Linked DNA regions of Stegostoma tigrinum. The protein of the gene in region 3 interacts with the protein of the main gene of each other region in a pairwise test. Links are inferred from orthologs where the notes say so. Each region holds a gene or a part of one and is shown on either strand. Other genes may lie near its edges. The genes, in order: atp6v1d, thap11 and bbln.

The links.
Region 1: the proteins of bbln (region 3) and atp6v1d interact in binary tests that used the Homo sapiens proteins (3 or more experiments, as listed by UniProt). The two-hybrid records come from large-scale screens. The link is inferred for Stegostoma tigrinum from reciprocal best matches to the Homo sapiens genes BBLN and ATP6V1D.
Region 2: the proteins of bbln (region 3) and thap11 interact in a two-hybrid assay, tested with the Homo sapiens proteins (2 studies listed by BioGRID and IntAct). The link is inferred for Stegostoma tigrinum from reciprocal best matches to the Homo sapiens genes BBLN and THAP11.

The regions. Positions count from the first base shown.
Region 1 is NC_081363.1:69,338,197-69,348,686, reverse strand, and holds the start of atp6v1d (V-type proton ATPase subunit D), read right to left. Parts: upstream 4,037-10,490; 5' UTR 3,478-4,036; coding exon 3,437-3,477; intron 1-3,436. Other genes in the region: eukaryotic translation initiation factor 2 subunit 1, read left to right, coding at 8,555-8,795, 10,375-10,454. UniProt on the Homo sapiens protein: Subunit of the V1 complex of vacuolar(H+)-ATPase (V-ATPase), a multisubunit enzyme composed of a peripheral complex (V1) that hydrolyzes ATP and a membrane integral complex (V0) that translocates protons.
Region 2 is NC_081369.1:18,231,308-18,241,424, forward strand, and holds thap11 (THAP domain-containing protein 11), read right to left. Parts: upstream 5,270-10,117; 5' UTR 5,091-5,269; coding exon 4,437-5,090; 3' UTR 2,340-4,436; downstream 1-2,339. UniProt on the Homo sapiens protein: Transcription factor, which has both transcriptional activation and repression activities. Also modulates chromatin accessibility.
Region 3 is NC_081382.1:41,781,198-41,791,785, forward strand, and holds the start of bbln (UPF0184 protein C9orf16 homolog), read right to left. Parts: upstream 4,895-10,588; 5' UTR 4,804-4,894; coding exon 4,722-4,803; intron 1,165-4,721; coding exon 974-1,164; 3' UTR 1-973. Other genes in the region: ptgesl (prostaglandin E synthase 2), read left to right, coding at 10,160-10,414. UniProt on the Homo sapiens protein: Essential for intermediate filament organization in intestinal cells, interacts with intermediate filament and regulates intestinal lumen morphology.

The DNA.
Region 1 (10,490 bases), on a different chromosome or scaffold from region 3:
ATGGGAAGAGCCTGTTTGCTTCAGTGCACGTAGGAAGCATTTATGCTTCTAAAAAGAGGAACAATGAATGGCTTTAGCTTGCTAAATAAATAGATGGAGCGGTCTGGTAGTATAGTGTAATGTTCCTACCTCCGAGTTAGAAAACCCAGGTTTAAGTCTCACCTGCCTCAAAAAGGTGTTTTATAACAATGACCAAGCAGATGGACTTCAATTTTATTTTAAGAATGGATGAATAATTCCAAGTCTGAGCCAAACCTGGACAATAGTTCAATAACAGTTAAGGGAAATATTTAACTTGGGCCAGTTCACGACACAAACATACTTGACATCAATCATTCAATTGGATATCTTACAAATGCAATACGAGCACAACAATATTTAATATGACAGATTAACAACATGTAGAACAAAAGGATTTATTCCCTCCAAACCAAATATTTCAGGTCAAAAACCTTTTTCAATTTTCAAAACCTGTGTTCCAACAGCACCATTTTTAAATTGAATCCATGAGGTAGAGTTTTGCAACAAATATAACGGAGTTGTCCAGACTTAGTGAAAATTTGGCTATGGAAATTTGTTCAGCTACCTGATTCTATCACGTATTAAACTCCCCCAAACCAGTTCCTGGTGTCAATGTACACACAACTGTTTATACAAAATATTTATTCCAAAATGTTCTTTTTTTCTATTAAAAAAGGTCACTGAGGACATCAAGTAAAAGGAGTTAGATGTTAAATATGGCCCCTTTCACATTCTCATGACAGTATCAAAGCAGCTTGGACTTATTGTCAAAGCTCTTTCACATGCTATGAGCAGGTGCAGAAAATAGTCAAGAAGACTGACAGAATGCTGGCCCTCATATCCAAAGGGCTGGAGTATAAGGGTGCAAGTGTTATGCTACCGTCATACAAAACCTCAGACCCCACTTAGAGATCTGAGAGCCGACTTGGGCACCCCACCCTAGGAACATTGTCTTGGTGCTGGAGGTAGTTCAACACAGATTTATATGGATGATACCTGGATTTCAGGGGTTCAGTTACGAGAAGGGGTTGGACAAATTAGACCTTTATTCTCTAGAACCTAGAAAGTTCAGGGGTGATCAAGATGGGGTTTTTGGAACATTAACAGGGAAAAACAGGATAACCCTATTTCCAATAGTGGAACATTCTCAAATCAGTGTGCATAGTCTAAGAAATAGGACCAGGCCATTCAAGAGAGAGACGCTAGAAAACACTTCTGCACACAGTAGAAGGCTTTGGAACTCTCTTCTTCACATGGCAGTCAATGCTAATTCAACTGTCAATTTAAATTGGACATTGTCAAGGGATATGGGCCCAATGCAGACATATAGAGTTAGGCAATGGTCTTATTGAATGGCCTATTCCTGTTCCTATTGGAGTAGTGTGTTCAATTCTGGGCACTTTATTTAAGAAAGGATGCTAAAGCCCTGGGGACACTGCAAAGCAGGTTTACTAAAATGACTGCAGAGATAGTAGGAAATGCCGATAGTGGATAATCTGAGATAACATGGTGTAGAGCTGGATGAACACAGCAGGCCAGGCAGCATCAGAGGAGCAGGAAAGCTGGCATTTCAGTTCGAGACCCAAAACGTCAGTTGTCCTGCTCCTTTGCTGCTGCTTGGCCTGCTGTGTTCATCCAGCTCTACACCATGTTATCTTATATTACCAGATTGATAACAGGAATTAGAGTATCTAGACACAAGGCAAGATTAGATAAATTGCGCGTATTCTCCTTGAACAGAGAGGATTAAGATATGACGTTATTGAGGCGTTCAAAATTTCTGCTAATTAGTATGTCAATGGCTCAGTCACAATTTCAAGATTGTCAGCAAGGCAGCTAGGAGTGAGATGAGGAGAAACTTCTTTATTCAGTTGTTAGGATTTGGAATGCTCTCTCTGGGAGTGCAGTGGAGACAGATTCCATAGGTTTCAAAAGACAGATGGATATATATTTGGAAGACAGGAACTTTTAGGGTTTTGGAGATAGGGCTGGAGAACAGGACTAGCTGACTAGATCTTTCAGGAACTGGTACAGACACTATGGAATCAGTGATTCTATAATTTACTTATGGATAGGAAATTAAAAGACTACCTCAGATAACAAAGTGTAGAGCTGGATGAACACAGCAGACCAAGTAACATCTCAGGAGCACAAAAACTGATGTTTCGGGCTCTCTGACGAAGGGTCTAGGCCCGAAATGTCAGCTTTTGTGCTCCTGAGATGCTGCTTGGCCTGCTGTGTTCATCCAGCTCCACACTGTTATCTTGGATTCTCCAGCATCTGCAGTTCCCATTATCAAAAGACTACCTCATCTGCTTTTAGTGATTATTACAGGACACTAGCCAGAACTACCCGCATTTGTGAACTCGCAGACAAGCCTGAACTGTTATTCCATTCAAGAAACAGTACTTCCAACAATGCAGCACCCCTTTATTATTCTGCTGAAACACTAGATCAGTTACATTTCAGATCCTGCAGTACGGTTTGAATTCACCTCCTCTGTAGGTGTGCTACCACAGCATGTGGATGGCCACTTATCAGTATAGACAATTACTATATGCTATACTTTTACAACAATGCATCTGAGAAATTATTCCCATGTATGGCAGTTAAATAATTTTGGTAAAGGGGGCTGTGAAGATGGCCAACGTAACAATACCAACTTTTCCAAATCAGACAGAATGTAAAAGTTGGAAACAATGTGCTGTGGGTGAATTCCAAATTCTGGCAACATTAATTATCAATAAAGTATTCCACAGCTGCAGAAGAGCTCATAATTATTTCTACCATGTTTGAATTATTACCATTTCATAATCTCACAAGTATTGGTGTATTATATAGTATGTCTAATAAAAATTGTTTAGAGGACACCCATCCCTTATTGTCTACCTTTTTCAAAAATCAAAAGTCAATCAGCTTGAACATTGTAGCCATTGAGGGTGACATGTATTTCAAAAATCTTCACAATGCAGCTAAACAAACAAATGTTTAGTTTGTCTTTCCATGTTATTGTATTCAACACGTTCCTAAAAATTCAGCAATATGTAGTGATTCATGCATTTTTTGTAAGAGATTTCTAATTGCAATGCCAATTTTGATCCAATAATGGATTGCGAAATTTTGGAATCTGTCATGCAAATTGGGCACCGTTGCATTAATTATCTGTCTGTGTTATAATCTCCGACTGACACTCTCAATTTTTATTTAGTTTCGACTGTAAAAGTTCCTTTATTTGGAAATAGTTCGATGATTCAGGAAGAAATGGGCCAGCACTTTTAAACGCAGTTTCATTCCAACAGCCCTTCACCTGAGCCAAAATTTAAAATGCTAAACTTTAAAATTTCCAGGTCGGAGCACTAAAGCAAAAGTCAAACTTGAGATGGCTAAAAACCGTAATCAAAAATCTGACACTCACATTCGCGATGGGAAGATCTCAATCCTCTCCTTGCCTGACATGTTTGGCTATTTCTTGAGGTGGGGGGGGGGGGGGGGGGGAAGATCCAATAGCTGGTGGAAAAGATGAAAATCTTTGCAATCGACAAGGAGTGTCCCGTGACCTTCAGCAGGTTGTAAGGCTAAGCCCTAGTGGGGCTACTTCCTCCTATAATTTTCTACTAACTTTCTTCGGTCGACTCGAGCAAATTGTTGGTTTCCACGGATCAGCAGCTGGCAACATCACGTGACAGGGCGGAGGTGACCTGTGACCTCCCTCACCACCGGGTTAACCGTCGTCCAAATATTCTAGATGGGGATTTTAATTTTTTTAAATGAAGTATCTCTTAGTGTTGCTGTTTGCTTCGCCAATTCCATATCTCACCGTTTTATCTCGCTGTTATTAACTATCTACGATCCTTTACCAAGATGGCGGCGACACGTCGTTACACCCGGCTGCCCCTTCATTTCCAGTCCTCCGTCAATACTAGAGAGCGAAAACCTAACAAAGCTATCGTGCAAAAGCACAATGTGTGTGAGTCGCGTCTAATGAATGAATGCTACAAATCAAGGCCGCTCCGCGATATCGATCGCGACTTCCAAGGTTACTTGGAGTGACGTTTCACTCCGCCCTCCTCTCGGCTTCAGGTCGCAGCTCCGCGCTTGCGCAGAAGCGGGGTTTCTGGCGAAGGGACGTACTTGCGCTGCGCACGAGAGATTCTGCGGTGCAGAGATAGTAGGAGCTGCAGAAACGTTAGCTTTCCTGCACCTCTGATGCTGCTTGGCCTGTTTTCTTCAGCCAGCTGTACACCTTGTTATCTCAGATTCTGCGGTGCAACGTGAGGATAAACATTGCCGCGCCTGCGCAGAATAAAGCGTGCGCCGTAACAGTTACGGAAAACGGCGTCGCGCCTGCGTAGAAAAGTAATTGTGGGAACAACGGAAATAGCGCGAGTCGGAGTGTGGGCCTGAGGTGCTGACCGTCCTCGTTCGCAGCAGCGCTGCCTACAGATTCTGCTCAAGTAAGTGAGTCCCAGTGCTGTCCTCATATCGGGAGCCGCAGTCCACCCCCCACGCCACTGATTCGCTGGTTAAGGCGGATCTAGATTCCGGCCCAATGCCAGCATGTTTTATGGTCATGTCGGCTCCTCAACTCGGGCTTCACCTGCGGGCCCATCCGGGCCTCTCTCTCTCTCTCTCTCTCTCTCTCTGTGTGTTTTTTTTGTGCGGCCTCTTTCTATCACTCGTGCCATTTTTCACTCCACTTTAAAGCTACCACCTGGAATGTGGCAGCTTCCAGGGTGGTGATGTCCCCACTTCTGACCCAGCAGATCCAGGTTGAAGTCCCATCTGTTCCAGAGGTATTCCACGAACAGGTTGATTAGAAAATAATTACAGCCACTGTGATTAAACTGAGGATTCTTGAAGTTCACAGATGGAAGGTACTTTGATTGCATCATTCTTAAAGTGAAATCCCAAGGGATGAAAGGCCTTAATATTCACTTCGTGATCAAGGAATTTCTTTTCTATCTTTGCTGATTTAGGAATTGAACTAGGTTTGGCTTGAAGTTCATACTTCTGTCAGACTAGGTATTTGGAATTAAAGTTTTAAAGAGATCTTCATTATGTCACGAGTAGGATGAAGTATTCAAATGAGGTATGACTGCATTATTGCTGACTGCTTTTCAGTTTTCTAATTTCTTTGTAGATAGATATTTTTTTTTATTAGCCTTGTCCAAATCTGAATCCTTGTCCTGAAGCTATTTACATGAAATAAAGTACAGATGATCATTATTGAAAATAGCATTGAAATGAAAATTGTACCATGAAGTATCAGTTGTGTCACAAAAATGGTCAGATTAATTGTCAGTTTGAACTGATATATGCAATTAGTGTTGGCTGGAGGCTGCTGTTGATTTCTGATTGAAGTTTATTGAGACATCTGAAGCCTGCCTCAAAATATGTTCTTAGGTGTTGATTCATGGCTCCATTGTAATTTCTTGTTTGGTGTTGGAATAATTACATGTGCAAGTCTCCAATGGCAGATTGGAAACTTCCTACAAAGTGTCAATATCAAACTTTATTAGTACTGTTGATATCTTCTAATCAATCTGTTCAGAGATGTCATTCCACACATAGAACCTAGGCCCACACCTTGACTTAGAGGTAGGTACCTCCTAAGAGTCCCATTGTGGTACTTTATTTTAATCAAGCTGCTCAGATACATTATGACACACATCTGAAGGATTGAAGCTGGGCCTCCTGGCTCTGAAGTAGGGACAGTGCCTTCCACCAGGGTGTCCAGTCTTGTTTCTTTATATCCTGGGGAATTAATGGAATTCAATTCATATGCATGGTCCTATCAGCAAGTTGTCCCTTGGCTTCTTCTGTGTTGGGAATGGCAGTCTGCAGCCTTGTTTAATCAAGGTGAGACTCTGCCTCATGGGAGTAAAATTGAAACTGTGGGCCCAGTGGAAATCCAGCTTCTAGTGGCATCTTTTACATCTGAAACTTTGCTGTCAGAATACTCTGCCTTTTTGCTCCCATGGAAGCACCAGGGCTTGATCTGTTGTATTACAAGTGTAGTTTTGTTTTGGCATCTTGCACTGGCCTTGTGGGCCAGAAAGCTTGAATTATGAGGAAAGGTTGGATAGGCTTGGGTTTTCATTGGAGCAGAGAAGACTAAAGGGCGATCTCATTGACGTGTACAGGATTATGAAGGGCATGGATATAGTGGATAAGGAACCACTGTTCCCCTTAGTTGGAGGGTCAGTGGTGAGGGCAGAAGGTTTGAGAGATATGTGGAAAAAATCTTTTATCCATAGGGTGGTGACAGTCTGGAATGTGCCTCTTTGGAAGGTGGTAGAGACAAATTGCCTCCATGCTATAACAAGTACATGGTTCAGTACTTGGCATGTCAGAACGTTCAAGACTGTGGGCTAACCGCCAGTATTGGTTCAGGCTCGATGGGTTGAACAGTCTCTTCTGCTCTGTTTCATTCTGTGACCTCATGATTTGGTGTTCATCTTTTTGAGAATTTAGGCTTGAGAGTTCAGAAACATTTCCACTGAGCAAGAGAAGACTAAGAGGTTAAAATTATGAAGGGTTGCGAGGCAATTTGGCCAACAGCTGTTTTAAAATCTGGGTCAGTTGTAGGAGGACATCAATTGAAATGAGTTCGGCAAGTTAGGATAAACTTGCAGGAACTTGCCCTGCTCTGACACAGAGCAGTGAAAGCAGAAGCCAGTGCATCTTTTAATGGAAGGGAAAAGTATTAGAAGAGATGAGATTTTGAGGATAAGTGTAACTAATGGGATGATTTTCAATTATTCTAGCAGTAAGCTAGGTCATGAAAACACACCTTCATAGGTAAATTCCTGTGGTTCCAAATTCTCTCTAACTCTTTCCCTCACCATTAACAAAGAAATTTCACGTAAAAACACTAGTCAGTGCAATGTACAATATTCAAGCTTCAGTACTATATCGATAGAATCAGCTGAAATTTCACTGTTATCTCAAATCTTAAGTTGTTATTTAACTAACTCCTCCTAAATTCTTTCCCTCAGATCATAGGGGAAGTTTTATAGTTTTACTGACATGAATTGCTCCCAGTTGTGATAACCTAAACTTTTTCTGTTCTATCAACTTGGAAATTTCTATCCAAGCTCTTCTCAATTGGAAGCACCACACACTAAATTCTTCAGCTATAGTGATTGTTTCCTTGAACGAAAAGCTTGATTCTCCACCTTTAGAGAAATTGTTTTCTGTTTTGAACTGAACTCAAAAACTAAAACTGATGGCTTTCTGGTTAGTTGTAAACACAACAGTATAAATGTTTCATCTATTAACATCACAGGGATTCTGTCAGGCACTTGATTAAAGTCACACGTTGCCTTAATTCATTTATCTAGCTGCTAATCCAAATGAGTTTTTTGCCCTTTTTAAAATGATTATGTTCACAGAACTGACCCTGTTTCTGTTTTGAAATCAAAGTCCCAGAATTTAATATTTATATGAACTACACGTTTCATCGTACAAATCCCATTATTTTGCACTGAGCAGACAGCACATTGCTCTGTCTGATCCATATATGTTGATACAACCAGGAAGAGGCTTCTTGATCATTTTTCACCAGTCATTGAGATCATGGTTGATCTGTGATCTATTTCCTGCCTTTGCCTCACCTCCCTTAACACTTTTGATGAACAAAAGTCTGTCAGTTCCCATTTTAACATGCATATTTGATTGCGCACCAATTTCCAAATTTTCTCAATTTCTGCCACTTTGTGTTTGGAAATGTTTCCAGATTTCACTCCTAAGTTTTTATGATCTAATTTTTCAACTAGGCCTCTAAATCCTGTATTCTGCATCCACCAGAGATGGTGCATGTTCAAAAAAAACCAGCTTCTACCTATACAAATTGTAGGACATGATGTGCTTTTATGCTTTGATCAGCCAATGATTGGTTTCTTTCTGGTTTGTTTAGCTCAACTTCCTACTGATTGAACTCATCCCACTTCATGGAAGTGGGATGCCAGCATATTTTAAACATATATTCTGTGCCATTCCTTAATATGAAGTAATTCTGAACACCATCCAGAAGTATTCAGCAGAGTTGTAAACAAGGGTCTAGACCCGAAACGTCAGCCTTCCTGCTCGTCTGATGCTGCTTGGTCTGCAGTGTTCATCTAGCTGTATACCTTGTTATCTCAAACTTCCTGAAGTAACTGGATTAACTAAAAGAAAATTTTGTTTTATGCTTTTATACATTACTTCAACATTTCAAAAAGCACATTCTCTGGAATCTAAAGCATTCTGCAATGATCTTCTGAATTAAAGAAATTTTTTTAATATTGTTGGGTGTTGGTCTCCCTTTTTTTGTTCACTTGAAGTTACCAGGCTGAAATGAGCTATATGTACAGTTAAACTGAAATTGCGTGGTGGGTTTTTAAGATCTCTTATTGTTTTATCCTCTCCTCGATTATTCTTTTACAATTCTGTTGGTTCTGCACATTTTTACGCAGTCTAGCGATAATACATTGTCTGCTCTTTCTGGTGTGAAATACCAAAGTGTAATTTGATTTCTTCTGCATATTTCAGAATGCCAGCTCTTAGTTGTCGGTTTTACCAACACAAGTTTCCAGAGGTAGAAGATGTGGTGATGGTAAATGTCCGCTCCATTGCGGAGATGGGTGCCTATGTCAGCCTTCTAGAATATAACAACATTGAAGGCATGATTCTTCTAAGTGAACTTTCAAGAAGGCGTATCCGATCTATCAACAAACTGATTCGAATTGGTAGAAATGAATGTGTTGTTGTAATCCGAGTCGACAAAGAGAAAGGTATGCATGTTGTGCAAACTATCTTGTCATGTTTTTAGATTCAGGAATGGCTCACCATCAAGATGATAACTGGGACGTCAGCAGTAGTTCATTCTTTTTGTTTACTAGTCTCTGACACACTGGTTGTGCTTTTTCTTCTGAGGCATCTGGTGAGGGTTCAAAACCCACTGGGGAGCTTGAGGTCAAAGTCTAGAGTCCTGGTGCAGTGTTTCATTGCAATTTGGATCAATCTTTAAATGATGGCCCCAGCTGCTCTCTTGTAGATATTTCGGCTCCAATAGTTTTGGGAGAAGAGCAGGAATGTTCTTATAGATCATGTTTATCTCCTGGCAATTCTAGCAAGCATGTTTCTGTGTACATTGGTCTTTTGTGCCTACTTCAAAATAAATTGCTTGTTAGGCTGTGATGAGAGAGGTCTAAATAAATCAGTTATTTTACATAATATCAGCTGCTTGTGCCTGTTCCCATATTTACTTAGGAACATGTTTGGACCACAAAGCAAATTAACATTTGAAATATGATCTGGCCATCCTTGATAAATTCCCAAATCAAAATTGAATGGAGTATTTTCATTTTTTGATTAATGTACAAATGTCCTGTGTGAATTGCAACTTGTGATAGTTTGTCTTATTTATCTATGTGGTGAATCTGAGTCATTCTTATCAGCCCATTCTGAAAAGTCCATTTCCCTAACTACTGACTCGATCTCTCCACTTAATGGTAGAGAGGACTTGTAATAAACTGGACGACATGTTCAACTCTAAGATAAACTTCCACCCATTCACTTGGTCCCTAACACAAGGCTGGCAGCTTTCACTTCCATAATGGTCTGTGGTCCTGTTTCAACTTGTTTGCTGAAACCATCATTCATGCATTTTAATATTTCTACTAGTGTTTTCCTGTCTGGTCTCCCTAACACCAGTTGCATCAAATCTTGTTCCTCTGTCACCTTTGCGCTTACCTTTTTTTGGCTTCCAGGCTGGCAAAGCATTTTTTGTTTTAATTAAATTTTCATTCTTAATCCTGTATTCTATGTCTGCACTCTGTCTATCTCTGTAAATCTTCCAAACCCACAAATCCAAGAACTCAACATATTTCCCAATACTGGCATTCTGCCTGCTTGATATTTAATTGCTTTTAATTGTGGTCTCGCCTACAGATACCCTGGAATTCCCTCCTTAATGCTCACTGACTGTCTAGATCGCTCTCCTTTTTTTAAGGCAATTATTTAGCCCTTTTGCAACAGTTCTGAGATCTTATGTGATGTCACATTTTCTTCATTAATGTTCCTAAATGCTTTTAGATGTTTTATTAAATTGAAGATTTCTCATAAATGTGAATTTATTGTTGTTGAGAGCCTTAGTGCTCTTGCTTTAGTGTTCAGTTCATTTGATGTATGTAATGAAGTGAAGGGTTATTTCAGCTACACAACTTGGAAACATGATGGCATCCTAGTTTTATTTTCCTTAAACTGTTTAGATACCTTACCTACGTAATGGAATGTTTTAGGATTGCCTCTTACACCAAGAAATTGTGGCCATTGTGATTGATTCTATTGTAATTGTCCCATTTGATCTAGGTTACATTGATTTGTCAAAGCGCCGGGTTTCGCAAGAAGAAACTATAAAATGTGAAGACAAATTTACCAAGTCCAAGACTGTAAGCATTTTCTGTTGTTTTTAAAAGTATGTATTT
Region 2 (10,117 bases), on a different chromosome or scaffold from region 3:
TACGGGGGATGGAGGTGAGGTGGAGCTTCCATTCCCTGATGGAATAGTGCTCTTCTGCCTTGCCCTCAACCATCATCTGCCACAGCAGATGGCTTTGCACAGGTGGAGTGCCCAACAGCATTTGTAACATGCACAGTGAGAGTGCTGACAATGGACAGTCACTCATTTGTCAGATCCATTATTGGTGTTTTTGGTCAGGTAGAGTGAGCGGCAGGACAATGCAATTTTGGAAACTTGTGGGTCACAAATCCCAGAAAATAACTTTAAACAGAAAATGCAAGTGATGTTTGTGGCATCTGCTGTTTTGGCACTGCAAATCAATGCTCCTATACATGTATGGGTACTACAGCACCAAGCGATGGAATTCACAATAAACACAGCCTTAGACAACACTCTCCTTTAAAGGATATCAAGAATGAAGGTACTAATTATGAGGCTACAATTAGAAACAGTAATAGATCTCTTGGCCTCATTCATCTGCTCTGCTATTCAATAAGGTTGTAGTTGATCTGATTGTGGATTCTTATGGAGTTTAGAAGAGTCAGAGGTGGCTTAATAGAAGTATGCAAGATTCTGAGGGGATTCAACAGGTGAATGTGCAGTAGTGTTTCCTGTTGTGGGAGAATCTAGAAAATGGGTCATTATTTAAAAACAAGGGTTCATCCATTTAAAACAGAGATGAGGATTTTTTTTCTCTCTGCAAAGTTTGTCAACTTTAGAATTGCCTTTATCAAAAAGCTGTAGATGCAAAATCTTTCAAGATTTTTCAAAGCAGCAATGATTAACTGGGGTTCTTGTGAAGATTTGTAGCTCGGGTTGTGGATGAGGTTATTGGATTGCTCGCCAAGCTGGCTGGTTATTGTACAGATGTTTTGGCACCATGTTGGGTAACATGTTGATGTTAGCAACAAGCCAACAACCTCAGCAGTGATAATTGTCAGGAGTTTGCAGGAATGTGCATTTGAGGTTAAAATTAGATTAGCCACAATCTCATTAAATGGCAGAGCAGACTACTACTGATTGCCTACTCTTGTTCCTTGTTTGTATGTTGAAGTAACCCTTATAATCAATCGTGATTATATTAAAATAAAGGTGATTACAGTAATACAATAGTTACAAAATTAAGACACCGAAAGGTTTAGTCTTTTAAATTGGTCACTCAAACCCTGAATAAGATTCAAAATTTATTATTTCAGTGTGTGTATTGGCTTTGTCAAACTGTGGGCCACTTTACTTCAGTGAGTCTTTATTATTACAGAAATGAATAGTGAAAGTTAACCCAAAGGCTACCTCGTCATTGTGACCACATCAAGTGGAGAAGGGGACCTTAAAAAAAATCTTATCCCAACCTGCATATTCACCATGTTAATATTATACTTCACATATTGGTGAGAAATCTTTATAATTACCATGTTTCATACTGTTGATACGTGATGTTTGACAGTGAAAGCTCAATATTTGTGACAATGCTGCTGCATGCTTATGAAGAATTAACTTGTAGTTAATTACTAGGTTGTTCTGCTCCCAGTACAGAAATATGTTTCTTCTCTTAGTCATCATCATTTATTTAAATGTATATATAAATTTACAAGGATGCTGCCAGTACTGAAGGAACTGAATTATAGGGAGAGGTTGGACAAGGGACGACTTTTTTATTTAGCGTGTAGGAGATTGAGGGATGATCTTATAGAAATGTATAAGATTGTGAGATACATGGATAGGGTGAACACACTCTCAGTCTTTTTCCCAGGATTGGGAAATTGAGGACTGGAGGGCATCAGTTTAAGGTAAAAGGGAAAGAATATATGGGAACCTGAGGGGCAACTTTTTAACACAGAGGATGATGTGCATGTGGAACGAGCTGCCAGCATAAGTGGTTGAGGCGGATATGTTCACAACATTTAAAAGGCATTTGGATGAATACATGGATAGAAAAGGTGTAGAAGGATATGGGCCAAGTGCAGGAAATGGGGTTAGCGTGGACAGACATGTTGGTTGGCATGGACCAGTTTGGGGGAAACGGAGTGTTTCCATGCTGATGGACTTTGTGTCTCTATCATTTGGTATTCTTATCCTTTTGTGAATGTTATCAGAACTTAATGAATGTTAGTTGTTATCAAAATGTAAACTCTAAACAGAATGAGAGCTGTAAAAACTGTGTATTATAACCAGAATCAAAGAGGGGTAACAGTGAAATAGAGACTTTGTTTTATTTGAACAGGACTTAATTACAGCAAGTGATTAGTTAGCTTTAGAGACACTGTCAGTTTAAATTGAACTCACTGGCAGCAACTGTTTATTTTAAATGATATATATTCAATTTATCACTGTTGCTGGCATGGTAGAAAAATGACTTTTATTTACATAGCACCTTAAAGTGCTCTGGACATCCCAAAGCATTTTACAACCAATGATGAATACATTGAGAATTAAGAGGCAGAACAATATAGGTCAAAAGTTAATAAAGTTGATTGTGATGGTTATACTCATGGCATTTGGCACACCATGAAACATCCAGGTAATCAGCTACAGATTATTTCAGACTAATGCTGCAGTAATGATGTCACAATCATTAATCCTTCAAAGTGAGACTCCTCACTTAACAATTACCGCCACTGGAGTCAGTATTTTAAGTCATTAAAATAAAAACAGAAGATGCTCAGAATACACAGTAGCTCAAGATTGCATTTGAAAAGAGAAAAAGCAGATTCTGATATGTCAGATAGATGCCATTTTTTCTGAATAATAATAACACTATCACAAATGAGCTAGTCCATGAGTCCAAATGAGTTGGCCAACAGGATGAAAGAGAACAATAAAATTAGCCATTGATGAATAGAACCTCTCTGGAACTGACTTTCTGAATGTTTCAGAGATAATGGGAACTGCAGATGCTGGAGAATTCCAAGATAATAAAATGTGAGGCTGGATGAACACAGCAGGCCAAGCAGCATCTCAGGAGCACAAAAGCTGACGTTTCGGGCCTAGACCCTTCATCTGAATGTTTCAGTGCTTTCCAAAATTTGCATTCAAAGATGTAAATATTTCTACTGAAAACCACTGCAACTTTGAAAATTATAACTTAAAAAATCCTTCTCTCCAGCAATATTTTGTGTCTGATGTAGTTACCGGGGCAGGAAGATAAAATTATTTGAACTTTGTTTCAATCTTGTTATCCAAATTCTCATTAAGGGTAATGATTTGTGTTCATCAGCAGATATCTGTTAATGCTATTTATAGCGTCAGGTTATTGAAATAATTATTTGCAATTTTACAGTAATTCTTCAAGGTGCAAGGTGTTCACTATGCAGATTAAGTAGTGTACTGTTGTAATATTTGGGAATCATTTAAGATCTAGCCAACAACTGATAACCATTTTAATTATTTGTAGGTTTATGAAATTGTTGTTTATTTCAGTATGAGAGATGAAAGCAACGTTGGCATTATTTGACCTGTTTGAATAAACTTAGTACATTATTGTGAAGAACTTTCTGTAGTGATTACATGATAAATTACTTATTCAGCATTCTGTTTAACTTTTGGAATGTATTTCTGTGAAATTTCATTTAGAATTGTGTTTTTCAAACAGTAAATGACTGAAAAGTTTTCACTTTATAGTTATAGTGCTTTATAGAGGTGACGTAAAAAATGGATACAGAGCAAAAGAAGGAAGTATTAGAAGGGGTGACTGAAAGGTTTTTTAGACCTATGTTTAAAGGAGGGATTTAGATGAGGAAGGTCAGTTGGAGAGGTTGAGGAAGAGAATGCCAACACCAGCCTAACCAATATAACTGTTTGAGAGTATTTAAGTATTGTTCTATCTCTTTGTTTGTTTGTGTTTAAAGTCTCACAATTGTATTAAAAACACTAAAAAAGTAAAAATCTTTTAAATCAATTTACAAAGTGTAACCATGAGAGGATTTATTATACTTTTTATGGTTATTGTTGTACAGTAACTTAATGTAGAGGGCAATATACAAAATAATAGGGAACTACTAAATTTATAGCATCATTATAATGGAACAAAAACATTGATTCGTAACACAGAATACATTGGATTGTGAATGCACTGTTGCTCGAGTGGAATTTGGACCTTTTGTGGTGCCTTGTTGCTTCACTACTTCCTAAAGTTAATTTTAGTACTGCATCCATGCAGAATGTCCCTCGGATTTGACCTGTCGTATGAAACACCCGGTAACTAGGGGTGCATATCGTTTGGGATGCGCGCACACACACACACACAGATTAAGCAAGTGGTCTCACACTATTTTATCACATCTGAAATATCACACGAAAAGTCCTAACATCCTGTGCCATGACGGCACATGATCCTCGTATTTGTCTTTTTTTGTTAAATTCTATTCTTCCTCGGGTTCGGTAGCTGCGAAATGTTTGTGTAATATATATAATATATATATTATTTATAAAACAGGCAGTCACATTCCATGTTTCTTCCTGATGACCGACATGGACAGTAATTTCTCCTTATTCCTCAGCTCCTCCCGCAGGATGGCCTCGCTGACCTTCAGTTGCCGGATGGTGCCTTTCATCTCCTTGATCTTCACCTCCATCAGGGCGATAATGTCCTTCTGCTCGTTGAGTTTCCTGAGCAGCTCCTCGGAGGTGGTGGTGGAGGAGAGTGAGTAGGAGTGATCTAGGCACTCGGGAGCCTCGGGGCGAGGGACAGCGGCGGCGGCGGCCGGGAGGGAAGGCGAGGACGAGGAGGACGAGGACGAGAAGAAGTAAGGTCCGGACAGGTCGATGGGCTTGACGTCCTCCTGGCCGGCGGCGGCTGCCGGCAGCTTCTTGCGGGAGCGCCTGATCTTCCTCTCGTTGACCCCTCGGAGCGGGAAGATGGTCGGGACCTTGACTGAGTAGGTCTTCCTGCCCCCGGGGAAGTGGGCGCTGCACACCCGGTGTCCGGTGGTAGGGTAGAAGGTGCTGAAGCAGCCCGACACTCCGGTGCGGGAGATGTTCTGAAGCCAGAGTCGGCGCTGCTCCTCATCCTTGGGGAAAGTGTAGAAGCGGAGCTCCCGGTCCCGGTGCGAGTTGTTGTAGCAGCCGGGCACGCAGCAGGTGAAGCCGGGCATCCTGCCGCTACGATCCCCAGGGCCAGCGCTGCCCGAGAGGCCTCTTTAATCGCAGGCCTGGCTCCCCGGACTCTCCTGTTCACACAATGCCCCCTCTTCCCCACTCAAATCCCCCCGGGTTTATTTATTTTCCCCCCAAACACCGAGTTGGCTGCAAAGCGCAGGCCGCGCGGCGGAACTACATCTCCCAGGGTGCAGCGCGACACACACAGCCACTTCCGGTCAAACAAAGAAACTGCTGCGAAAAAGGAGCATTAACTTTCAAAAATAATGAATGCATCGTTGAAACATCTTCGCACGTTTCTGCTGATTTGTATATAGTTATTATTACAGCAATCAACACTCACAAATTCCACTTAGTGTTTCCATTTTATTATATATTTTGCATCGTACCATCGCATTTTTGTGTTACTGTCACTCTGCACCCAAAGCAATAGCATTTTATTATACGAAAATAAGCGAGAGCTTGCTACCAAAGTTCACAGAAATAGCTAAAAACTGCATTTATAAATGATGTAAACCAGACCGTATATTTTATCTATTTTGTTCACAGGAGGTACATGACAATCCTGTTTGAAAATTGATCAATAAATTAATTTTACTGATACAAAAACAAAATTGCTGGAAAAGCTCAGCAGGTCTGGCAGCATCTGTTAAGGAAAAAGTTGAGTTAATGTTTAGGTTCCGATTACCCTTCCTCAGAATTGGATCATTTTGAAAGAATCACTGGACCCGAAAAGTTAACTCTTGTGTTTTTCCTCCACAGATGCTACCAACCTGCTGAGCTTTTCCAGCAACTTTGTGTTTGTTCCTGATTTACAGCATCCACAGTTCTTTTGGTTTTTAATTAGTTTTACTGATGATGTTTATCACATTTAAGGTGTTATCTCAAAGCTTTTTTCCGATTGAAATTTTGAAAATTGTGGTTGAACTCATCCACCGCCAATAAAGTTACAAAAGTCAATTTCTGCCAACAGTAGAAGTGATATCAGTGAAAGTGACTATGATGTGGGTGAGCCGGTGTTGGACTGGATGAACAAAGTCAGAAGTCACACGATAGGTTTATTTGAAATCACAAATCAGGTGAAGTGGCCACAGTCCCAGACTCTCATTAGAGAGAGAGAGAGACAACTATTGGTGCGTTTAACCTGAGGGTCACCATGCCTCAGTCAAAGGGTCAGTTCAGGAAGGTGGAACCTTCACATGATCTAAGCTGACGCAGGAATTAAACTGACGTGGTTGGTAACACTATGCATGATAAACCAGTTATCCAAACGACTGAGCTCACCAACTTCAAATGGTAGATTTGCCAATGGAAGATGAAGTTAATGCATAGTTGTTGAAGATAATTGTGCATCCTGAAATTAACATAATTGAAAAAAAATTAAATTTTTAAGTATGCCATCATCTGATAAAAAACTTCTTTATTTTATAAGAAAACACTCCCGTCTCTTACAAATAACAAAGAAGATGAATAAACATGAGGCTGTATGTTCATCCACCTGCTGTTTACAGGATGTGCAGAGCCCTTGGGTTTGAAAATTATTTTATTAGTAGAAGGACAAGTATCCCGCAGTATAATTTTAAACAATCTATTCTGAGTATGCATGGAACTTTTTAACAGTGCATATCACATTGATTTCAAATCTCACTGTAACTCATTGGAATTTAAGTATAGGTAGTGTGACAATTTATAGGCTGGCACCAAATGAAATAATCATGAAAATGCTGCATTATTGTAAGAATTCTAATAACACTCATGTTCTGTCTGGATCCATACATTTGTTGCTTTGAGGGCAACTATGACTAGGTGAAAAATGTAACATTGCTCCTATTCTGAGGACAAATTATGTATATACTATATATTTAATACTAGTCTGTCAAAGAAGTGGAAATATTTATTTACTGTGATCATGATAACCATTCAGGACTGCCAGCAGGCTAGCATCCCATGGATTCACAATTTGATCACAATATTTTGCACGTCGTTGCTTAGTCGGCTTAACATTAGCTCCACATTGTCAGACAGTATTGTTCAAGCTAAAACCAGAACCAGTAATTGTTTTAATATTTTTAATTTACACAAAAATTAATTCTGGAGAATCAGTTTTTACAATTATTGATACTGAATATTTAAAATTTGCCTTGAGATTTAAATAAGTCATTTTGTAATGGAATTATTTTAACTGAGATGCCAACAGACATAATGGGCCCTTTGTTTTTATCGCCAAATTTTGTCTCATTGCAACAAGATGGAAACAAAAGGTTAAAATGAGGGAACTGCAAAATCTCAATACTTGGCTTCATTTATACGCCTCCAAGGTTGGGGGTATGTGCATTCGTCTAATCTTCCTATCACGGATATTCTGCAGCACAGAAGGAAGTGATTTTCCTCATTATGCCTATGCCTGCTTTTCAAATGAGCATTATGACATTGTGCCATTCTCTCACTTTTTTCCATACACTTCACATTGTTTCTATTCAAATAATCAGCTAATTGTCTCTTGAATGCTTTTCTTATACCTGCTCTAATATACTTTGATGCAGTGCATTCCACTCATTGAGTAAAAGTCTTTTCCTCACTTCCCATTTGCAAATCACTTTAACTCTGTGCCCTGTCATTCTTGATCCTTTACAAATGGAAACAGTTTCTTCCTAATTATTGTATCCATACACTTGCGGTTTTGAAAGCTTCAGTTAGATCTCCGCTTGGCCTACTTCCCTCCAAGGACAACAGTCCCAAATTCTCCGAGCTGTACTCATAACTGAAGTTTCTCTTCCCTGGAACCATTTTTGTAATGATGTTCTGCATTCTTCTTCATGTGCATTCACACCCTTCCTACAGGTAGGTACCTAGAACTGCAAAATTACTTCATCAGGGGTTGAACAAGTATCTTGTATAATTTCAGCAAATTGCCCCTGCTGTTGTATTCCATGCCTCTATCAAATAAAGCTCGGGTTACTGTAAGATCAGAGATAGCAAGAGCTGCTGATGCTGGAGTCAGAGTCAACACAGTTGAGCTGGAGGAACATAGCAGGTAAGGCAGCATCAGACGAGTAGGAAAGTCAACATTTCAGTTCGGGACCCTTCTTCAGAACTGGGGAGGGAGAAGGGAGCTGGGAAATAAATAGAGGGAGGAAGGATGGGGCTGGGGAATGATAGGTGGGATGGTGGTAGGTAGTTGCAAGTGGGGGAGTTGGGATTGATCAGTGGGAAGGGTGGGAAAGAAGATGGGCCAGTTGTGTCAGGACATGGAGGTCGGGATGAGAGGGAGGTTTGGACATGGGATGAGGTCAGGGCTGGGGAGATTTTAAACTTGGTAAAGTCTGTGTTCAGGCCGTCGGGCTGTAGGCTCCCGAGGTGGAATATGAGCTTTTGTTCCTCCAGTTTGCGTGTGGTGTCATTGTGGCACTGGAAGAGGCCCAGGATGAATATGTCATCAAGGGAGTGGAAGGGGGAGTGAAAATGGTTAGCAACTGGAAAGTGTTGTCCATAATCACATATAGAGAGCGCAGATGCTCCATGAAAGTCTGTGCTTGGTCTCTCCGATGTGGAGCAGGAGCAACAAATACAGTAGACCAGGCTGGAGGATGTACTAGTGAACTCCTGTCTGATATGGAAAGCTCACTTTCGGCCTTGGATGGAGATGAGAGAGGAGGTGTAGGGCAGGTGTAGCACTTCATGTGATTGCAGGAAAAGGTGCTGGTGTAGTGGAGAGTGTGTGGAGGGGATGAGGGAGTCGCGGGTGAGCGGTCTCTACAAAACGCAGATAGGGGTCTCCTCTCACCCATGCCCCCCATATAAGAATGTGATCCCTTACACCTAATTCCTCCACCTCCGCCTTATCTGTTGCCAGGATGGAGCGTTCCACTCTTGGACATCCCAGATGTCCTCAGGACTGCAACACCACACCCCCCTCCCTGTGATTAAAAATGCCCTCAACCACATCTCTTGCATTTCCCACACTGCTGCCGTAAAACCCTCTTTCCCCCCCAAACAAAAATAAAGACAAGTCCTCCTAGTCTTCAAATACCACCGCACCAACCTCTGCATCCAACATATCATTCTCCACCACTTCCGCCACCTACAATCCAACCCCACGACCAAAGAGTTTTTTTCCCTCCTTACCCCTATCTGCCTTTTAACTCCACCTCCCAATCCTGGGTGACATGTCCATCCTGGGCCACCTCCGGTGTCACAATGATACCACACACAAACTAGAGGAGCAACACATATTCTGCCTCAGGACCCGACAGCCCAATGGCTTTAACATTGAACTTCTACCACACAGATGAAATAATCTGGATGTAGGTTTGCTTGCTGAGCTGGAAGGTTCGTTTTCAGACGTTTCGTCACCAGTACCTCAACCTGAGCTACAAATCTTCTCAAAACTCGCTAGATAAAATAATTCCAGCAATCCTAAATGTACCATTTCACCAACTCTCTTGTGCCTCAACTCCTATTGTGTTATCAGCCTGGATAAGTCACAATTAATCTAAGTTAAAAATTGGACAGAGCACTGTGCATATTGTTGAGTTCTCAGAATAATATCCCATCTGAATGCAGCAGCTTCCAGAATGCAGCACTCCATTTTCAGGTTCTGTAGAAGGGTTTCAGATTTGAAATGTTAACCCCATCTCTCTCCACAGTGGTACTGCTAACTCTTTGAGTTTCTTCAGCAATTCTGTTTTTATTCACTCATTATCCTAGGTTGTACATTCAAGTTCCCTGAATTCTGTAAGTTAGGTTTCCGGGAGTATAAGGTCAGATGTACGCACACATCATACTACATCATCTCTTAGTTTGTTCCATTCTATATATAGTCAAAGGCAATGTAGAAGACTTGATGTAACATGTTGATAAAGGCATTGGACATAAATTGAAATCATGACACTTCTGAACTTTAATTTTCCCAGCAACAACAAAAGACAATCAACTGGCACTGAGGTATCCATCTTGACATGATGTTTTGCACTTGGAATATGGTATACCATTGTGCATCCTGGAAAATAACCTTCATTAAGTC
Region 3 (10,588 bases):
ATACCTTACATAGACAGGAAGATGAAAAAAATTGTTTAGGTTTTAAAAACACAGAATGGTTGGCAGAGGTTGTCATTTTGTTTTTAAAATTCAATTTACAAATTCAAGAAAAAGTTGTATTAAGGAAAAGACTTGTGTTTATACAGCCCTTTTCATGATCACTGGATGCCCCGAACTGCCTGACTGCCAGTGACACATTTGACATATAGTCACTGGTGTTGTATGTGGATAATAGAGCACTAATTTTCGCACAGCAAACTCCTACAAACAACAATGCAGTAAATGACAAACTGAAGCTGATTAATGAATAAATATTAGTTGGCCCACAAGGAAAAACTCTCAGACTCTGAAATTGCTGTCCACCTGAGAAGGCAGGGCCACAGCTTAAAACTTGAGAGACAGCACCTCTGTCAGTGCAGAACTTTTAAAGTATTACATTGGAACATCAGTCTCTTGTGTTGACATTCCGGTCTGGAACTTGAATCTACAACCTTGTGATTCAAGATGAAAAAGAGAGTGAGTGTTACCCTCTGAACTGCTACTTAGAGGAAAAAAAAATATTGTTTTTCCCAGTGGAGGCATGATCATGTGGTTTGACCTTCTCCAAATCAGTAGGACTAACCAGATGAACTTCAGGTATCCCATCAGGTCAAACATTCACCTTTTTTAGATCTTTGAATCCCACTGAAATAGAATTTCTTATTGCAACTCGCAAGTGGAAGATACACAACATGACATCTGTTACAAACGAGCTTCCTCCTAAAAGGAACAGGAATTTCAAAGCCAAAACCAATAGGAAGTGGTCAAAAGTAAATAAAGTTATCACAGGTAGAACTGCAACTCACTGATTAAAACTACAGTGCTTCGGTCACAGGAAAGTAAAGAGACTAGCAATGGTTACAGCTAATTAACATTTGCTTTTAAAATGCTTAAGCAGGACATGTAATATTACAGCTTGATACAGAGACAGTGATCAAAGTTGAGAGTTGTAGTCCTGGGAATCTTTTGGGGTTGGTGCCTGGACTTGTTGCCTGAATTCCATCCTCACCTGGCGATTTGACTCCAGCAATTCTCGAAGTTTTGCATTTAAAACATCATTTTTCTCCTCAAGGTTGTCCAAGCAAGAGTTGATCTGGTCAAGCATCAAATTGAGTGCAGCGTATTCTGCCAAAAGAGGGTGGAAGTGAGGTGAAGGATACAACATATCACAGTCAATAGAACTAGTTACAAAACAAAAAGGAACACACATTTATGCTCTGCCTTTCTCCACATAAGATTTTTATTTGTATATTTTTCATCTCCCAAGGTATTAAGACAGTTGGGCTTAGAGCTACTTGATCTAGCAAAGATATTCGCTAGAAACTAAAAGATATCTATATTAGCCTGATGCAGGACTTCTCAAAGAGGGGGTTGGGACTCCAAATGGCTTACAAGCAGCAATGATCATTGCAGAACTCTGACTAAATTATAGCAGCTTTGCTCCAGCTTCAACAGGCTCGTGCTCTCTCAAATCCACAGCAGTAACCCACTCTGCTGTCACTCAGGGGGGGAGAAATCTGGGAAGCAATGCACTAAAGACTGCTAGTATCAATGACAACACAACAACTTACATTCACAATCTTTGGACATCCTATGGCACTTTAAACAAGTAGTTTTCAGGTGTGGTCACTGTTTAAATGCAAGAAACACCACACAATTTGAATATAAGATAATAAAATGTGAGGCTGGATGAACACAGCAGGCCAAGCAGCATCTCAGGAGCACAAAAGCTGACGTTTCGGGCCTAGACCCTTCATCAGAGAGGGGGATGGGGGGAGGGAACTGGAATAAATAGGGAGAGAGGGGGAGGCGGACCGAAGATGGAGAGTAAAGAAGATAGGTGGAGAGAGTATAGGTGGGGAGGTAGAGAGGGGATAGGTCAGTCCAGGGAAGACGGACAGGTCAAGGAGGTGGGATGAGGTTAGTAGGTAGATGGGGGTGCGGCTTGGGGTGGGAGGAAGGGATGGGTGAGAGGAAGAACCAGTTAGGGAGGCAGAGACAGGTTGGGCTGGTTTTGGGATGCGGGGGGGGCGGGGGGAAGAGAAGAGAAGAGCTGGGCTGGTTGTGTGGTGCAGTGGGGGGAGGGGACGAACTGGGCTGGTTTAGGGATGCAGTAGGGGAAGGGGAGATTTTGAAACTGGTGAAGTCCACATTGATACCATATGGCTGCAGGGTTCCCAGGCAGAATATGAGTTGCTGTTCCTGCAACCTTCGGGTGGCATCATTGTGGCACTGCAGGAGGCCCATGATGGGCATGTCATCTAGAGAATGGGAGGGGGGAGTGGAAATGGTTTGCGACTGGAGGTGCAGTTGTTTGTTGCGAACCAAGCGGAGGTGTTCTGCAAAGCTGTCCCCAAGCCTCCGCTTGGTTTCCCCAATGTAGAGGAAGCCGCACCGGGTACAGTGGATGCAGTATACCACATTGGCAGATGTGCAGGTGAACCTCTGCTTAATGTGGAATGTCATCTTGGGGCCTGGGATGGGGGTGAGGGAGGAGGTGTGGGGGCAAGTGTAGCATTTCCTGCGGTTGCAGGGAAGGTGCCGGGCGTGGTGGGGTTGGAGGGCAGTGTGGAGCGAACAAGGGAGTTACGGAGAGAGTGGTCTCTCCGGAAAGCAGACAGGGGTGGGGATGGAAAAACGTCTTGGGTGGTGGGGTCGGATTGTAAATGGCGGAAGTGTCGGAGGATGATGCGTTGTATCCGGAGGTTGGTAGGGTGGTGTGTGAGAACGAGGGGGATCCTCTTAGGGCGGTTGTGGCGGGGGCGGGGTGTGAGGGATGTGTTGTGGGAAATACGGGAGACGCGGTCAAGGGCGTTCTCGATCACTTTGGGGGGGAAGTTGCGGTCCTTAAAGAACTTGGACATCTGGGATGTGCAGGAGTGGAATGTCTTATCGTGGGAGCAGATGCGGCGGAGGCATTGGGAATAGGGGATGGAATTTTTGCAGGAGGGTGGGTGGGAGGAGGTGTATTCTAGGTAGCTGTGGGAGTCGGTGGGCTTGAAATGGACATCAGTTACAAGCTAGTTGCCTGAGATGGAGACTGAGAGGTCCAGGAAGGTGAGGGATGTGCTGGAGATGGCCCAGGTGAACTGAAGGTTGGGGTGGAAGGTGTTGGTGAAGTGGATGAACTGTTCGAGCTCCTCTGGGGAGCAAGAGGCGGCGCCGATACAGTCATCAGTGTACCGGAGGAAGAGGTGGGGTTTGGGGCCTGTGTAGGTGCGGAAGAGGGACTGTTCCATGTAACCTACAAAGAGGCAGGCATAGCTGGGGCCCATGCGGGTGCCCATGGCCACCCTCTTAGTCTGTAGGAAGTGGGAGGAGTCAAAACAGAAGTTGTTGAGTGTGAGGACGAGTTCAGCTAGGCGGATGAGAGTGTCGGTGGAGGGGGACTGGTCGGGCCTGCGGGACAGGAAGAAGCGGAGGGCCTTGAGGCCATCTCCATGCGGTATGCAGGTGTACAGGGACTGGACGTCCATGGTGACTATGAGGTGTTGGGGGCCAGGGAATTGGAAGTCCTGGAGGAGGTGGACGTGGGTGGTGTCACGGACGTAGGTGGGGAGTTCCTGGACCAAAGGGGAGAAAATGGAGTCCAGATAGGTGGAGATGAGTTCGGTGGGGCAGGAGCAGGCTGAGACGATGGGTCGACCAGGGCAGGCAGGTTTGTGGATTTTGGGAAGGAGATAGAAACGGGCCGTGCGGGGTTGGGGAACAATGAGGTGGGAGTGCGGGGTTGGGGAACAATGAGGTGGGAGTGCGGGGTTGGGGAACAATGAGGTGGGAGTGCGGGGTTGGGGAACAATGAGGTGGGAGTGCGGGGTTGGGGAACAATGAGGTGGGAGTGCGGGGTTGGGGAACAATGAGGTGGGAGTGCGGGGTTGGGGAACAATGAGGTGGGAGTGCGGGGTTGGGGAACAATGAGGTGGGAGTGCGGGGTTGGGGAACAATGAGGTGGGAGTGCGGGGTTGGGGAACATCACACAACAACTTAATGTTAATGGAGAGTAAACATTCACCAGGATATCAGGGATTAGTATTGTTCTACTCTTCATCATTGACTGGATTTCAGTCAGATAACATTTTCATCTGAAAGGTTTCACCAACAAATACAGCACACCCTCGGGGGAATAAGCAAAGTGAAGGCTGAATGCTGAAAGTGACAGAGACGTACAGCAAACAAAAGACTTTTCAGTCCAACTTGTCCATACCGACAGATATCCTAGATAAATCTCATCCCATTGGGCCCAAATCCTTCCCATTCATATACCCAACCAGATGCCTGTTAAATGTTGTAATTGTACCAGCCTCCACCACTTCCTCTGGCAGCTCATTCCACACACGCTCCACCCTCTGCTTGAAAAGTCGCCCCTTTGGTCCCTTCTAAATATTTCTCCTCTCAGCTTAAACCTACGCTCTTTAGTTTTGGACTCCCATAGCCTTGGGAGCTTGACAATTCATCCTATCCAGGCCCCTCATGACTTTATATATTGGTATAAGGTCACCCCCAAGCCCGTCTCAGGGCCTTCGTGAAGGTGTCCAGTTGGAGGCGGGGGGGGGGAGTGTCCTATTAAAGGGTTTTGAGGGGGATGGGGTTGAGTCCGAATCGGGAGATAGGCAGGGAGCTGGATCTAGTGAATGCGATTTATTTGCGTGGGGGTCCGGTCGGATCCCTGTCCTGGGGTTTACCTTCCTCAGACGCTTCATCCTCCTCCTCCTGCTGCTGCTGCTGCCCCACAGTGACACTCGGCTCCCCGTTCGGCCCCGACATGTTGCTGAAGCTGAGACCGGAATCAAGGAACAGACGCCGCGATCCCGAACTTTGCCCCGTTCACCCCTGACCTTAACATGTAACAAACTCTCAGCTGTTCAAGGCCCCAATAACACGTGTCCCGGAAATGCCTTTAATCAATCTTCTCCACCTCTCCCCATTATAACACCCACCCCCGATAAAACACGACAATTTTTGTTTTCAATTCTAAGTATAACTTGAATCCTTTTTCTTTAAAATAAAATGATGACAGGCACAGAAGAAGCCTTCCATTATAGGGCTCGTTTGGGCAATCTGTGGACAGATTTATACACAGTTAAAGGGGTAAATCATAACATTATAAATTGATTTGCAGAAAGCAAAACATGAAAACGGAGTAAACTGAAACAGTAGGTAACGAATTAGAATTGCCTCAATTTTTGTGATGATATAAAATGTCCCTGCATTTGCAATAATAGAAACCAAAAGAACTGCGGATGTTGTAAATCAGTAACGAAAACAAAGTTGCTGGAAAAGCTCAGCATCTGTGGAGGAGAAAACAAGAGTTAACGTTTTGGGTCCAGTGACTGAGGAAGGGTCACCGGACCCGAAACGTTAACTCTGTTTTCTCCTCCACAGATGCTGAGCTTTTCCAGCAACTTTGTTTTTGTTCTTGCATTTATATTGTATCTTTCATGACTTCAGTGTTTTCCACAGCGTCTTCAAACACGCATCTATTTAATAACTAATCATAGAACAGTACAGCTCAGCACAGGCCCTCTGGCCCACGAGGTTGTGCCAAAGTTTTACCCTAAACCTAAGGTCTATCTAACCTCCAACCTTACCTTATACTATCATCCATAATCACTGATGCAACTTCTTCATTGTTCATCAAAATAGTGGCGTGGAATCTTTTATGGCTATCTGATTGTGCCTTGGTTTAAAATCCCACCTCAAAGACAGTATTGTGCCTCCAATGCACTCTCACAGTACTTTACTCAGAATTTTAGAACATTACAGCACAGTACAGGCCCTTCAGCCCTCGATGTTGTGCTGACCTGTCATACCGATCTGAAGCCCATCTAACCTACACTATTCCATGTACATCCATATGCTCATCCAATGACGACTTAAATGTACCCAAAGTTGGCGAATCTACTACCGTTGCAGGCAAAGCGTTCCATTCCCTTACTACTCTCTGAGTAAAGAAACTACCTCTGACGTCTGTCCTATATCTTTCACCCCTCAATTTAAAGCTAAGCCCCCTCGTGCTCGCCATCACCATCCTAGGAAAAAGGCTCTCCCTATCCACCCTATCTAACCCTCTGATTATTTTATATGTTTCAATTAAGTCACCTCTCAACCTTCTTCTCTCTAATGAAACAGCCTCAAGTCCCTCAGCCTTTCCTCATAAGACCTTCCCTCCATACCAGGCAACATCCAAGTAAATCTCCTCTGCACCCTTTCCAAAGCTTCCACATCCTTCTTATAATGTGGTGACCAGAACTGTACGCAATACTTCAAGTGCGGCCGCACCAGAGTTTTGTACAGCTTCACCATAACCTCTTGGTTCCGGAACTCGATCCCTCTATTAATAAAAGCTAAAACACTGTACGCCTTCTTAACAGCCCTGTCAACCTGGGTGGCAACTTTCAATGATCTGTGTACACAGACACTGAGATCTCTCTGCTCATCTACACTGCTAAGAATCTTACCATTAGCCCAGTACTTTGCCTTCCGGTTACTCCTACCAAAGTGCATCACCTCAAACTTGTCTGCATTAAACTCCATTTGCCACCTCTCAGCCCAGCTCTGCAGCTTATCTATGTCTCTCTGCAACCTACAACATCCTTCGTCACTATCGACAACTTCACCGATCTTAGTGTCGTCTGCAAATTTACTAACCCATCCTTCTACGCCCTCATCCAGGTCATTTATAAAAATGACAAACAGCAGTGGACCCAACACCGAACCTTGCGGGACACCACTAATAACTGGTCTCCAGGATGGACATTTCTCATCAACTACCACCCTCTGTCTTCTTTCAGCAAGCCAATTTCTGATCCAAATTGCTATATCTCCCACAATTCCATTCCTCCGCATTTTGTACAATAGCCTACTGTGGGGAACCTTATCGAACGCCTTGCTGAAATCCATATACACCACATCAACCGGTTTACTCTCATCTACCTGTTTGGTCACCTTCTCAAAGAACTCAATAAGGTTTGTGAGGCACGACCTTCCCTTCACAAAACCGTGCTGACTATCCCTAATCAATTTATTATTTTCTAGATGATTATAAATCCTATCCCTTATAACCTTTTCCAACACTTTACCAACAACTGAGGTAAGGCTCACTGGTCTATAATTACCAGGGTTGTCTCTACTCCCCTTCTTGAACAGGGGAACCACATTTGCTTTCCTCCAATCGTCTGGCACTATTCCTGCAGACAATGATGAGTTAAAGATCAACGCCAAAGGCTTGGCAATCTCCTCCCTGGCTTCCCAGAGGATCCTAGGATAAATCTCACCCGGCCCAGGGGACTTATCTATCTTCACCCTCTGTAGGATTTCTAATACCTCTTCCTTGTGAACCTCAATCCCACCTAGTCTAGTAGCCTGTATCTCAGTATTTCCCTCGACAACATTGTCATTTTCTAGAGTGAAGACTATTGAAAAATATTCATTTAGTGCTTCCCCTATCTCCTCTGACTCCACACACAACTTACCACTACTATCCTTGATTGGGCCTAATCTTACTTTCGTCATTTTTTTATTCCTTAAATACCTATAGAAAGCCTTAGGGTTTACCCTGATCCTATCCACCAACAACTTCTCATGTCTCCTCCTGGCTCTTCTGAGCTCTCTCTTTAGGTCTTTCCTGGCTACCTCGTAGCCCTCAAGCGCCCTAACTGAGCCTTCACATCTCATCCTAACATAAGCCGCCTTCTTCCTCTTGACCAGAGATTCCACCTCCTTCATAAACCACGGCTCCCGCGCTCTACAGCTTCCTCCCTGCTGACAGGTACATACTTATCTAGGACACACAGGAGCTTTTCCTTGAATAAGCTCCACATTTCTAATGTGCCCATCCCCTGCAGTTTCCTTCCCCATCCTATGCTCCCTAAATCTTGCCTAATCTCATCGTAATTGCCTTTCCCCCAGCTATAACTCTTGCCTAGTGGTATACACCTATCCCTTTCCATCACTAAAGTAAACATAACAGAATTGTGATCGCTATCACCAAAGTGCTCACCTACTTCCAAATCTAACACCTGGCCAGGCTCATTACCCAGTACCAAATCTAATGTGGCTTTGCCCCTTGTTGGCCTATCTACATACTGTCAGGAAGCCCTCCTGCACACACTGGACAAAAACTGACCCATCTATAGTACTCGAACTGTAGTGTTCCCAGTCAGTATTTGGAAAGTTGAAGTCCCCTATAGGTATATAACTCTGCTGAACAGATTGATGAGAAAATAAAAATCTACAAGAGCGAGTCTTGAACCCAAGGGTCATAGAATATAGAACAGTTTTCTGAAGAAGGGTCTCAGCCCGAAACGTCAGCCTTCCTGCTCCTCTGATGCTGCTTGGCCTGCTGTGTTCATCCAGCTCTACGCCTTGTAGCACAGAAACATGCCCTTTGGCCCACGATGCCTCAAATACCATGATGCCTCTCAAAACTAATCCCATCTGCCTGCACATGGTCCATATCCTTGCCTTGTTTATGTGTTTGTCCGGATGCCTCTTAAACTATGCTGTAGCCGAGTCTTCTCTCCCTCACACGTTAGTCTGGACTGCACTTCTGGAAGCAAAAGGAAGTTTTGAAAGCGGTGTGGTCAGGGTGGAGATGTCCAAAGATGCGCTGTTTAGGTGGATGGCCATGCTATTTTGGCCCATAGTGACCAGGGACGTACAGCCGAGGTGGGTTAGCCATGAGAAATGCAGGGCTATGGAGACAGACTCAATTTTTGGTTTGGATTTTGAATTCAAATCTCTGTGGTGTGGTGCTTGATTACATAACTCTCTGTCATGTGTGGGCCATAATGGCCTGATCTGGGTGTATATGCTTTATTATATATCAATTTCTTAACCTCAATTGCCAAAGAAAATACTGGCCACCTTTCTCTCAAAGTTGCTGACACTGTTAAGCCCCATCACATGTGCTAAGATTTAAAGATCTAAGTTAGTAATCAGGATTCAGAACTTGAAACAAAAGCAGAAGTTTCTAAGAAAGTCAGCAGGTCTGACAGTATCTGTGGACAGAAAGCAGAGTTAATGTTTCAAGTCCAGGGACCTTCCTTAAGAACTTGCTGCTCACCATCCTAGCTTGGAAATATATTGCCGTTCCTTCACAGTCACTGGGTCAAAATCCTAGAATTCCCTCCCTAAGGGCATTAAGGGTCTACCTACAGCAGAAGGATTGCAGCGGCTCAAGAAGGCAACTGGAAACAGCCATTTAATACTTGGTCTAGCCAGTGATGTCCACATCACAAAGAATGAATTTTTAAAAATAGTAATATCTTGTAGATAATGATCTAGAACTAATATGTCATTTAAACAAAATGCCTTTTGACCTGAAAAATGTTTGAGGATCATTGCTGCCTGGTCATCAAGGGATTTGGGGATAGAGTCGGCAGTAGAATTGAGGTAGAGGATCCAATCAAGTGGCAGAGCAGGCCATATGACTTCCCAGTTTTCCCATTTTGCATGTTCACTAAGCTGGTTGTATTTGACTTTTATTGTAAGATGGCACATTCTAATAAAGTTTTGACTTAATTCATCAAGTTTTCTTTTATTTGCCTGTTTTGGCCTTTATTCATTGTGTCCCTCAGAAGAAGGTAGTATTTCCAAGGTGATGATACTAGAAGATTAGAAGACGCACATGTTAGATTGGGTTGTTTGGAAAACACATTTAGATCTGAGGTAGTGGGAACTGCAGATGCTGGAGAATCTGAGATAACAAGGTGTGAAGCTGGATGAACACAGCAGGCCAAGCAGCATCTTAGGAGCTGGAAAGCTGAACCCAATGAATCTTTTCAGAAAAAAAGATTTCTGAAGAAGGGCCCTGACCCAAAATGTCAGCCTTCCTGCTCCTGAGATGCTGCTTGGCCTGTTGTGTTCATCCAGCTCTACACATTTAGACCTGAAAAGGGATTTAATAGTGAGCCAATAATTTATGTCGTATAACCAAAATTAAGTGAATCATTAATTTATTATTTGCTTCGAATAATAATGTAGAAGATGAACAACTACGTCCTTAGGTGAAAATCGGAAGGCTGTATATGAAAGGTGGAGTGTGTGGGTCGGTCTATAGTAATTCAGCGGAGTACACCTTTAAGAAGATCTGGAGGAAATCTGGTTGTGTAAGGTCGACATGGCAGCTTCCTATATCAGAGTGAGGAGAGTTTGTGCTCGGCTTGTGGCTTGCAATGGACAAGCCCTCGCACTACAGCCTGGCAGCAGGTTCTACGGGCAAGGCAGAGGTTTGCAGAAGTTACCAGGAGGTCTGAAAGTTGGTAAAACTGCCCTGAGTGTTGCATTTGTGCTGGGTGGGACCTTGGGATTGTACCACACGGTCAGGCACTGCCTGAAGCAAGAGCTGCACCGTGCTCAGCAGCAATACCCGAAGGTAAATGCGAGTTTATAGCACAAAAAGAGTACTTCAGGGGCTGCTAGTAACTTACAGCCAGATAGAAAAGTCTGTACTGCTCACCAGTTAGACTGAATCCTTACATTATTTGGGGAGGGGTTTGGAGGGAAAATGAGCGTCGATTTTTTTTGTTGTATAGCATTAATTAAACAC